2 linked regions of the Saccharomyces cerevisiae S288C genome follow. The protein of the gene in region 1 purifies or fractionates together with the protein of each later gene. This does not show direct contact. Each region holds a gene or a part of one and is shown on either strand. Other genes may lie near its edges.

The links.
Region 2: the proteins of SUP45 (region 1) and TPH3 purify together in Saccharomyces cerevisiae (affinity purification with mass spectrometry, with the first as the bait; one large-scale study listed by BioGRID). This does not show direct contact.

Annotation. Positions count from the first base shown.
Region 1 is NC_001134.8:527,780-533,778, forward strand, and holds SUP45 (translation termination factor eRF1), read right to left. Parts: upstream 4,404-5,999; coding exon 3,090-4,403; downstream 1-3,089. Other genes in the region: BMT2 (25S rRNA (adenine2142-N1)-methyltransferase), read right to left, coding at 1-259; MAK5 (ATP-dependent RNA helicase), read left to right, coding at 538-2,859; YBR144C (uncharacterized protein), read right to left, coding at 5,456-5,770; alcohol dehydrogenase ADH5, read left to right, coding at 5,983-5,999. UniProt on the Saccharomyces cerevisiae protein: Component of the eRF1-eRF3-GTP ternary complex, a ternary complex that mediates translation termination in response to the termination codons. The eRF1-eRF3-GTP complex binds to a stop codon in the ribosomal A-site.
Region 2 is NC_001142.9:403,681-409,067, forward strand, and holds TPH3 (Tph3p), read left to right. Parts: upstream 1-1,907; coding exon 1,908-3,593; downstream 3,594-5,387. Other genes in the region: MPS3 (Mps3p), read left to right, coding at 1-1,265; chaperonin-containing T-complex subunit CCT3, read left to right, coding at 3,878-5,387.

The sequences.
Region 1 (5,999 bases):
ATTTGCCGTCTTCATAGTACTTGCCCAGTCTTACATTACCTTTAATACTTAACCTGATAATTTTGTCATTCTTCTCCTCGTTGGAATCATCTAGGTTTTCCTTAAGGCATAAAAACTTGCATATCGATTGACGCTTATTAATTAAATGGTGGAATCTTCTTATTATCCTTCTTGTCTTCTGTGGCTTGATTACTCTCGTCACGTTACTTCCTACTTGCTTCCTCTTGCCCGTAATACTCTTCGACTTTCTTGAATGCATTCCGCTGTATTAGTGGTATCGCTAAGCTGATACAAGATTGCCATCAAGGTCATGGCTAGCTCATCGATATTATAATTGTTATATTTTTTTTCACCTCACAAACCCGCCTCAAGGTTAGTTAGTCCGTACTTTTCTTTTTCTCTGAAAAACTTTTCCAGCGATGAGCTTATAAGAATTTCCATCTAAAAAAGTTATATTCGCCAACCTGCCCATCATTATCATCATAACCTCAGGTAGAAATTCTTTAGTCAAATACCGGCATAATCAGTTTTTCCATCATGGGTAAGAAAAGGGCTCCTCAAAAAGGAAAAACGGTCACAAAGCCACAGGAGATAATTGTAGATGAATCCAAATTGAACTGGAAACCAGTAGATATTCCGGACACTTTAGATGACTTTGGTGGATTTTATGGCTTGGAAGAAATTGACGGAGTGGACGTTAAAGTCGTGGATGGTAAAGTAACTTTCGTCACCAAAAAAGATTCAAAAGTGTTAAAAGATAGCAATAAGGAAAAAGTCGGAGATGATCAGGAATCTGTGGAAAATGAATCAGGGTCAGATTCGGAGTCCGAGCTCCTTGAATTCAAGAACTTGGACGATATTAAAGAAGGAGAGTTGAGTGCAGCATCTTATTCATCATCCGACGAGGATGAGCAAGGTAATATTGAGAGTTCAAAGTTAACCGATCCCAGTGAGGATGTGGATGAGGATGTGGATGAGGATGTTTTGAAAGAAAACGTCTTTAACAAAGACATTAATATCGATGATATTTCTCCTGTAAATTTACCTGAATGGACGAATCTTGCACCTCTCTCAATGACTATTTTGCAGAGCTTGCAGAATTTAAATTTTCTCAGACCTACAGAAATTCAAAAAAAGTCTATTCCAGTTATTATGCAAGGCGTAGACGTCATGGGGAAAGCCTCTACAGGTTCAGGTAAAACTTTAGCCTATGGTATTCCAATTGTAGAGAAACTGATCAGTAACTTCTCTCAGAAAAACAAGAAACCAATATCGTTAATCTTTACTCCTACAAGAGAACTGGCGCATCAAGTCACAGACCACTTAAAAAAGATCTGTGAGCCTGTTCTAGCGAAATCTCAGTACTCGATATTATCTTTGACAGGTGGACTCTCTATCCAAAAACAACAACGTCTATTAAAGTACGATAATAGTGGCCAAATTGTCATCGCAACACCAGGTAGATTTTTGGAACTGTTGGAAAAAGACAACACTTTAATCAAAAGATTCTCGAAAGTAAATACGCTAATCCTTGATGAGGCTGATAGGCTGTTACAAGACGGTCATTTCGACGAGTTCGAAAAAATCATTAAACATTTATTAGTAGAAAGAAGGAAAAACAGAGAAAACTCCGAGGGCAGTAGCAAAATTTGGCAAACTTTGATCTTTTCTGCAACATTCTCCATCGACTTGTTTGATAAGCTATCTTCTTCCCGTCAAGTTAAGGATAGAAGGTTTAAAAACAACGAAGATGAGCTAAATGCCGTAATACAACACTTAATGAGCAAAATTCACTTCAACTCAAAGCCGGTTATAATAGATACAAATCCTGAGTCAAAAGTGAGCTCTCAAATCAAAGAATCCTTAATTGAATGTCCTCCATTAGAACGTGACCTATACTGCTATTACTTTTTAACCATGTTCCCAGGTACAACTTTGATCTTTTGTAATGCCATTGACTCCGTGAAGAAATTGACCGTATACTTAAATAACCTAGGCATCCCAGCTTTTCAAATTCATTCTTCCATGACACAAAAGAACCGTTTGAAAAGCTTAGAAAGGTTCAAGCAACAAAGCGCTAAACAGAAAACAATAAATCATTCGAATCCGGATTCCGTTCAACTCTCAACAGTATTGATTGCAAGTGATGTTGCTGCTAGAGGTTTAGATATTCCGGGTGTTCAACACGTTATTCATTACCACTTACCAAGATCTACTGATATTTATATTCATAGATCAGGCAGAACTGCAAGAGCAGGTTCTGAAGGTGTCTCTGCCATGATATGCTCACCTCAAGAATCTATGGGCCCATTAAGAAAGTTAAGAAAAACTCTCGCTACAAAAAATAGTGTTTCGACGGATTTGAACTCTAGATCAACTAACAGAAAACCCATCAAGTGGCAAAACACTGTGCCTTTGTTACCAATTGAAACCGATATACTTTCACAACTCAGAGAAAGAAGTAGATTAGCAGGCGAACTGGCTGATCATGAAATTGCTTCTAATTCCCTAAGAAAAGATGACAATTGGTTAAAAAAGGCTGCTGATGAATTAGGTATTGACGTTGATTCCGACGAAGACGATATATCAAAGAGTAATTCGGACACTTTCTTACTAAAAAATAAAAATAAAAAAATGCAGAAGACTATAAATAAGGACAAGGTAAAAGCCATGAGAGCTACGTTGAACGAATTGTTATCAGTGCCTATACGTAAAGATAGAAGACAGAAATATTTGACAGGTGGGCTAGTGAATTTAGCTGATAACTTGGTCAAAAAAAGAGGTCATAATTCTATCATTGGTCATGAAAAGACAAACGCCTTAGAAACTTTGAAGAAAAAGAAAAAGAGAAATAATTAATCTCGAGGCTTTTGAAGAGAAACTCTCCTTTCACTGTATTTTCTACGTAATATACACGGTCCTCTAAACCCACTATGTACTTTCAACAAAGGAATTAGCTCAATATAGAGCAAAAGGTTTACCAAGTATATATTATATTGTACAAAAAATTAAAAGCGAATTTAATTTAAATCTGGCATCTAGTGATTAAATTCTTTTTGATTCGATTTTTTTCTCCCCCTTTTATTTATTTAAATGAAATCATAGTCGGATCCTTCATCTTCGTCATAATATTCATCCTCAGATTCATCAACTAGTTGTTCAAAATTAACTTTGTAACGCAGCATGGCACCAATACCACCAAAACCTGTGACAAATTGGGCACCTTCTGAAGATTTGTCTGTGATGAATTCCAAGGTAGCACCGAAGTTTTTGTAGTTAGCTGCTAGCCATTCAATTAAAGGTTCTTCGGAGACAACGTCCATTTCTTGGCCGGTAGCTTTGTCAATAGCAAACGACTTGTCCTTGGCTTCTGGTTCAGCGAATTTTATAACCTCATTATCCTCGGCATCTTTAAATGTATATCTGATAGTTTCCAAATTTTCGAAAACAATTAATTTTTCGACTGCACCTAAATCCAATGCCTTTAAAGTATCATCTATACCATAACAGAATTTACCAGTGTCCTGGGAAATTTCGTCAAAATATGCCTCCAATAATTTCTTTTCTTGAACATACTTGACATTGGCCAACGCTTCGGCAGAAAGTTCGATAGCCTGGTTGAAACCGTTTTCACCACCATAAGAAACATCCACGATGGAAATAACCTTACATGCTAGTCTTGGATCGAATAATTCAGATTTAGCCAAATCGGTCTTAAAGTCAGCAGAACCAGCTAAAATTAAACCCTTAACATTGACTTTGTCATTAGTAATAAAATTTTGAACAGCAACTTCGGCGACCTTTCTCACATAATTATGTCTTTTTTCTTCTCTTAAACGAGCAAAACGAAGCGCAGATTGACCACCTCTACCATGCTTTTTTGGCAGATCGACAGTAAATTTATGTAAAACAGTTCTCGTATTACCGGACACAGAACCAAACAAAGTACCTTGACCGTCCATGACTATAAAACCGAACTTGTCGTCAGCTTGAAGCAATTCCGAAAGAACTTCTGTATGAAATTTGTTATCACACAAATATAAGGATGTGTTGATAGGTTTGTAAGGTTCGATGTCAAAAGTGACCTTTTTTTCTTTACCATCTTCAGTGATGATATCACCACAATATAAAACTAAACCGTTCTTGGGCAAAGTATTATATAGCTTCAACTTTTGTTGGGTGGAAGTGATAGCAGATAAAACGGAAAGACGATTAACCCTAGATTTAATATTCGAGGCAGTACCATATTCATCTGTTAACATTTTTTGGTACAGTGGAATTTGACCCTTAGGAGGAATAACTAAGGAAATCATAGAAGTACCATTACCTCTAGCTTTTTCTAAAGATTGGACCAACTTCTTGACCTTCCAGATCTCAATATTTTTTTCAACCTCGTTATCCATTATTGAAGTATTTCCTTTGTCTATTTCTGTAGTCTTAATAAGGAGACAAGCCGAAATGAATTAAGAAATAAAGGTGTCGTTAAGGCCACACCAACAGTATATCAGTTAAAAATACAGTGATGTATTTCATTGATTTGACGCTTAGCACTGGATTTCTGAAAAAATTTTTCATTCAGGGTCAACGGAATAATCCGGGTAATAAAGACGGCGCTATCAAACGGTATTACTGAAAAATGTACAAATGATGAGAGAGCAAGTGACTTAAGTATTCTTCGTACATGCGGTAGCGACAGATTGTAGTTTATGATCTGGTTATAATACCATGTATAAATTGGAAGGATCTAAGCTAAAGTAAATTATGAATTGAATACTGCCCTTCAAAAATTAGATTTTGACAGGATGCTTTTTAACAAGTCTGTTATCCTCTTCATGGAATCACAAATTTAACCAGATATTTGCAGCAGCTATTGGGGGAAATGATGTAGCTAAGGTCTACCTCATACTGCTCATATCCAGCTTTTTACTTACTTTTCGTTTCAAGGCTCCCATACTATCTATAATGAGTAGAAATATCAGATGACTATGTCATTTTGAAGTTGGTTAGAATTTGCTTTTTGGTTTCGACAGCATGTGCACATTCATCATTGACCTTCGCTAAAGGTAGCGCCACCAAAAAGGAGCAATGAATTGAAATAAAGTTCTCAGTCCTCTACTTGTCCAGTTCTTGGCACATTGTAGAGTCTTACGTCAAATGTTCTGTTGGCTCACATACGTGCTCTTCGTATTTTCCATGAATAACTTCAGCTATTTATGTAAATGACGCTCATACTCTTTATAAATCTGAAAATAAATAGCACGCATATACAAAGTGGATCAAGAGGCGTTATATCCAAACATTTCAGACAGAAGATTATATAATGTAACAGAAAAAGTTTTAAAAATTTTGGAATAAAGGAAAAGGTGGTTGGGGAAGAGAATAGAGCTACAGCAAGTAAAAAGGTGCTTTCCTCGAAGTTGCGTCGAAGATGAATGAAAGTAGTTGCTAATTCTTACTAGCACATGAAAAAAAAGGATATATATAATTTTACAAGTAGTGTCTTCATGACGGATTCATAGTCTATCCAAGCGTTTGCCCAAAATTTTGCAGTAAATTTAATGTTTTCTGTATAGGATAATGGTGCGCCATTCAAGTCCCGCGAAAAATGACTGATGTCTACAGGACAGGGGCGCAATATATGTTCTCTGACATTGCACCTTTTGAATATATCATGTGTTTGTTCTGCTATCTGCTTGTAGAAGGGTACGCTAACAGAGCCGGCGGCATTGTAAAAAGTTCTCCTTTCGCGGAAGGATGAGTCAAAAAGCATGTGACAATGAAATAATCAAATTGTGACATCTGCTGACGCGGGATCGTTCCTTCGTATTGTCTAGATTGTAATCTATATAACATACTACGAATATAAAAGAGGGACTACAAGATATTTCTAGCGCAAACTACTGCTTTACTGTCTCACAATGTCTCTGATTGGAAGATACCTAAGAAAATTATTTAACTACATATCTACAAAATCAAAGCATCATGCCTTCGCAAGTCAT
Region 2 (5,387 bases), on another chromosome or scaffold:
CTTCCATGAGTGAGTTACAGAGGCGAAATCACAAATTTACGGTCGAGAATGTTACTCAATGGCAAGATCAACTGGTAAAACAGTTGGATACACACCTCCCTCAAGAAATACCCGTTGTAATTAATAATTCTTCGTCGCTTTTAATAATCCCTGAATTGCACAATTATTTGAGTGCTTTGATTTCAGACGTTATTGAGTCTCCAGGCATTGGTACTGCTGGAAGCGCTGAAAGTCGTTGGGAGTATGATTTGAATCGCTATGTAAAGGAAATTCTTTCGAATGAGTTGCAATATATCGATAAGGATTATTTCATCCAAGAAATGAACAGAAGGTTGCAATCTAACAAACAGGAGATTTGGGAAGAGATCACAAATAGGTTAGAGACACAGCAGCAGCAGCAGCAGCAGCAGGTTCAACAGGATTATTCTAACGTGCCACAGCAGTATTCGAGCATATTAATGAAAAGATTAATTCACCAAATTTACAATTCCAATCAACACCAATGGGAGGACGATTTAGATTTTGCTACTTATGTTCAAGGTACTAAACTATTGAACCATTTAACTTCACCAACCTGGAGACAGGGCAGTGGGGTACAGCCGATAGAATTACTGACCGACTCCAAACAAAGCTCCTCAACTTACTGGCAATGTGAGAACGAACCTGGGTGTTCATGGGCCATAAGGTTTAAAACTCCTTTGTATCTAACCAAAATTTCGTACATGCATGGCCGTTTTACTAATAACCTACATATAATGAACTCAGCACCAAGACTGATCTCATTATATGTAAAACTGTCACAGACTAAAGAGATCAAAGCATTGCAGACATTGGCAAATCAATACGGTTTCGGGCAGCATCACAAGAGAGACCGAAATTACATCAAGATCGCAAAATTTGAGTACAGGTTGACAGATTCTAGAATACGCCAACAAATGTATCTGCCCCCATGGTTCATTCAGTTAAAACCACTCGTACGCTCAATTGTCTTTCAAGTGGACGAGAACTACGGGAACAAAAAGTTCATATCTCTGAGGAAATTTATCATCAACGGAGTGACACCGCAGGATTTGCAAATAATTGAAAATAACGAGTTCCCTGTTTTACTGGGTGACACCCCAGAATATGGTGTCACTCAGAACACCGACGAAGGCAAGAGGAAAGTTCTCCTATCAAAGCCTCCTTACGCGTCTTCATCTACTAGTACCAAGTTTCATCCCGCTTCTAACGTCCCATCATTTGGCCAAGATGAGCTAGATCAATAAACGACAATAAAAAATTAAACGTTCTAACCCCCTGGCCCCCAGAAAATCGCGCAGATTGACGGCACTCCCTTTAAATCATAGAGTTAATCAGCTACTCACCACTCTCTTTCGGTACTGGCGTTATTCTGAATTCCAACCTTGAACACAGCCACACGGCATTCAGATGTTGCTCCCATGCGTGGACTCACGCTCTGCGATTAACAGCTCATGGAAATTTCCTCGTGCTATTTAAGACTGCAGTCGTTTGGAAATCGGAATATCTTTTTTCGTGCAGTTTTGCGGGAAATTTTCCCTACTTAAAAAGCTGAATGAAAATCAGAAATATCTGCAAAAAAAAAAGGTAAAAAAGGGAAATTTTAAGACATAGCATAAAGGACTTGGTTTTGTTTCAATACTCAGCCCTTTTCATTCATTTCTATCACAAGTTTTTTTTTGCTCTCGTTTCCATTTTCTTCGTTTACTTATTATTGACGTACATCTTTTTTAGTTTCAAATAACATAGCAAGAAGGCTTAACTAAGTTCCTATATTCTTGGCATATTTATCATCATCAGGTCTTTTAAAAGTATCTCAGAACGTAACTTCAACGCCTTTAGATTTTTTTCACAACACGACTCTATTGCAAGAGACAAAAAAAATTAAAATGGGCATTTTGGACTCGCTGAAAAAACCTGTTAATATCAAGAGTTCGCTCCCCAAATTCTCCCGCAGTGCTACCAGCATCAATTTAAGTAGCCACCCAGTAAGTTCACGGTCCTTCCTCGAATTACCACCAGAGCTTTTCAGCATCACTAAACCTATATTTAAGCTTCTGCAAGCACACGCAAATAAGATTTACTTCCAATCTTCCGACGCTGAGGCTGTATGGAATGTTAAGGATTCTTCTGGACATGTTTTTGAAGCAGAGTCAATTTCTTTGCTCGGCTCTCATATAATTATCACAAATTCCTCTGTACAAGTCGCAGACGTGGCCATCATAGATTCCCCTTCCAACATAAACCAATGTGAAATTTCAAGCGTTGGAGAGTTCCTGCAATTCAATAATGGCCAACTATCTATCACATGTAACGATTTTGGTTTACTGGAGAAGTTCAAAAGGTTGTGTATGATTTCTATTTTTGAGTTCATTTCTATATATAAGGCCTTGACAGGCACAGTGATTTCCTCTTATGGGCTGAGAATGTCTGATATGCATATCATTTTGAACTCGCCGTTCAATTTTAAGGATTGGTGTGAAGTTTATCTTGATGGTCAAGGTTGGGTGAAAGTGTGGTGTCATATTGATAAAGTGTCTAAAACCAATAATTCTAAAAGTAGTAGTGACAATGATGCTAAAGGAAAGTATCAAATACGGTTTTATAGAGATGACAAATCCACATCTAGCAAGAACTGCGTTTTTTTTATTCCTGACAATGAGTACGTTCAAGATATTTTCTTTTATAACATCAATGCGGCAGAACCTTCTAAAAATATGAACGACTTTTTTCAAGGGTTGCAAATGATAAAGCTCGTTGGTAATGTACGCTTTTGCAGTGATACGGACTTTAATGATGTGGTGGATAGTGGATCCATCTATAGTAGTGCAAACAACGGCAGTGGTGACAGCAGCTCGACAGCATTGAATAATGAAAGTCCTAACACTACACCAAAAAGTAGAACTTTCTTTTCACCTAAAGGGCACAGAAGAAATAGCTCCCATGTAAGTTCGTTAACTTCTAGATCAACAAAAAAGCCTATAACTAACTTCACTACACGTACAAATGGGCTTTTGATTAGGCCATTGCCCCATCATGGCGTACATCACCTGGAAGCAATGATCAGGTTCATTATTCCTTTGATGGATTGTGCAAGACTTTATGGGCGTCCAGTTCAATTCAAGACAGAAAGAACCGATATAAATTCGTTAATGTTTGGATTACCTAAATTGCCCTCAGTGGATTATTTTGCTGAAGAGGAGATTGCCCATTTGATGACCCAGGAATTTAATCCTTTGAAAGAAAAAGATACTGACGATACTATGGCTTTAACTATGTCAAGATTTTCTAGCTACCTGCAAGAAAGAATGACAAAAGTCTCCAAGAGAAACACAGAACTCAACTTCAGGACCTTTAGTGATGTAATGGGCATGTATAATACTACGAGGGATCACTCTAAACTTAATTGCATGAGTGACAAGGATAATTCTGTGAAGGAATTTTCATTGAGTGATAAAAGCAATGTTAGTTCTGAAACGACTAATATGATGAATCAATTGCAAGTAAACGCCCATGAATACAAAAGTTCTATGTGCGAACGTCCTATCGTCGCAAGTACTTCGCCCATTGCATAGTTCTTCGCATATATAGCCACATCTCAAAAACTTACATACAGTGTATATATTTGTGGTACAGTTTCTGTATAGCCAAATATACCCTGATATAATCTTATGTGATATTATATACTTCCATCCTAATACTAAACTTTTTCGTTTAACGTGACGCATGGTGCGAAGAAAAAAAAATAGCAAATCGCCACTCAATAAAGTGAGTAGAGAGCATTATATCAAAAAAGCATCGATAATATCGAGTGATCATACGTTGAAAATCATCAAGTACAATAGTGATATAAGCCACAATGCAAGCTCCAGTGGTATTTATGAATGCTTCTCAAGAGAGAACTACCGGTCGTCAGGCCCAAATCTCCAATATCACTGCTGCAAAGGCAGTTGCCGATGTCATTCGAACTTGCTTAGGTCCAAAAGCTATGTTAAAGATGTTATTGGATCCTATGGGCGGTCTTGTGTTGACTAACGATGGCCACGCTATTTTAAGGGAAATTGATGTTGCACATCCAGCAGCTAAATCAATGTTGGAGTTATCCCGTACTCAAGACGAAGAGGTTGGTGACGGGACTACAACAGTTATTATTCTAGCTGGTGAGATTTTAGCTCAGTGTGCACCTTATTTGATTGAAAAAAATATTCACCCTGTTATTATTATCCAAGCCTTGAAGAAAGCACTGACTGATGCACTAGAAGTTATCAAACAAGTAAGTAAACCTGTCGATGTGGAAAATGATGCCGCTATGAAAAAATTGATTCAAGCCTCTATCGGTACTAAATATGTCATACATTGGTCAGAGAAAATGTGTGAATTAGCTCTAGACGCTGTTAAGACTGTCCGTAAAGACCTGGGACAAACTGTGGAAGGTGAACCTAATTTTGAAATCGATATCAAAAGATATGTCCGTGTGGAGAAGATTCCTGGGGGGGATGTTCTAGATTCTCGCGTCTTAAAGGGTGTCTTATTGAACAAGGATGTTGTTCATCCAAAGATGTCCCGTCACATAGAGAATCCACGTGTTGTTCTTTTGGATTGTCCACTAGAATATAAGAAGGGTGAATCTCAAACCAACATAGAAATTGAAAAGGAGGAAGATTGGAATAGGATTTTACAAATCGAGGAAGAACAAGTTCAGCTAATGTGTGAACAAATTTTAGCCGTTAGGCCAACACTAGTCATCACTGAAAAAGGTGTTTCAGATCTAGCACAGCATTATTTACTAAAGGGTGGATGTAGTGTTTTAAGAAGAGTGAAGAAATCAGACAATAATAGAATTGCTCGTGTAACTGGTGCAACCATTGTCAATCGTGTAGAGGACTTGAAGGAAAGTGATGTCGGTACAAACTGTGGATTATTCAAAGTAGAAATGATTGGGGACGAATATTTCTCATTTTTGGATAACTGCAAGGAACCAAAAGCTTGTACCATAATGTTACGTGGTGGTTCCAAAGATATATTAAACGAAATAGATCGTAACCTACAAGATGCTATGGCTGTTGCTCGTAATGTGATGTTGAGTCCTTCCTTGTCCCCAGGTGGTGGTGCCACCGAGATGGCAGTTTCTGTCAAATTAGCAGAAAAGGCAAAGCAATTAGAAGGGATCCAGCAATGGCCATACCAAGCTGTAGCTGATGCTATGGAGTGTATTCCACGTACTTTGATACAAAATGCAGGTGGTGATCCTATTAGACTCCTATCCCAACTAAGAGCCAAACACGCACAGGGAAATTTTACAACAGGTATTGATGGTGACAAGGGGAAAATTGTAGATATGGTTAGTTACGGTATTTGGGAACCTGAAG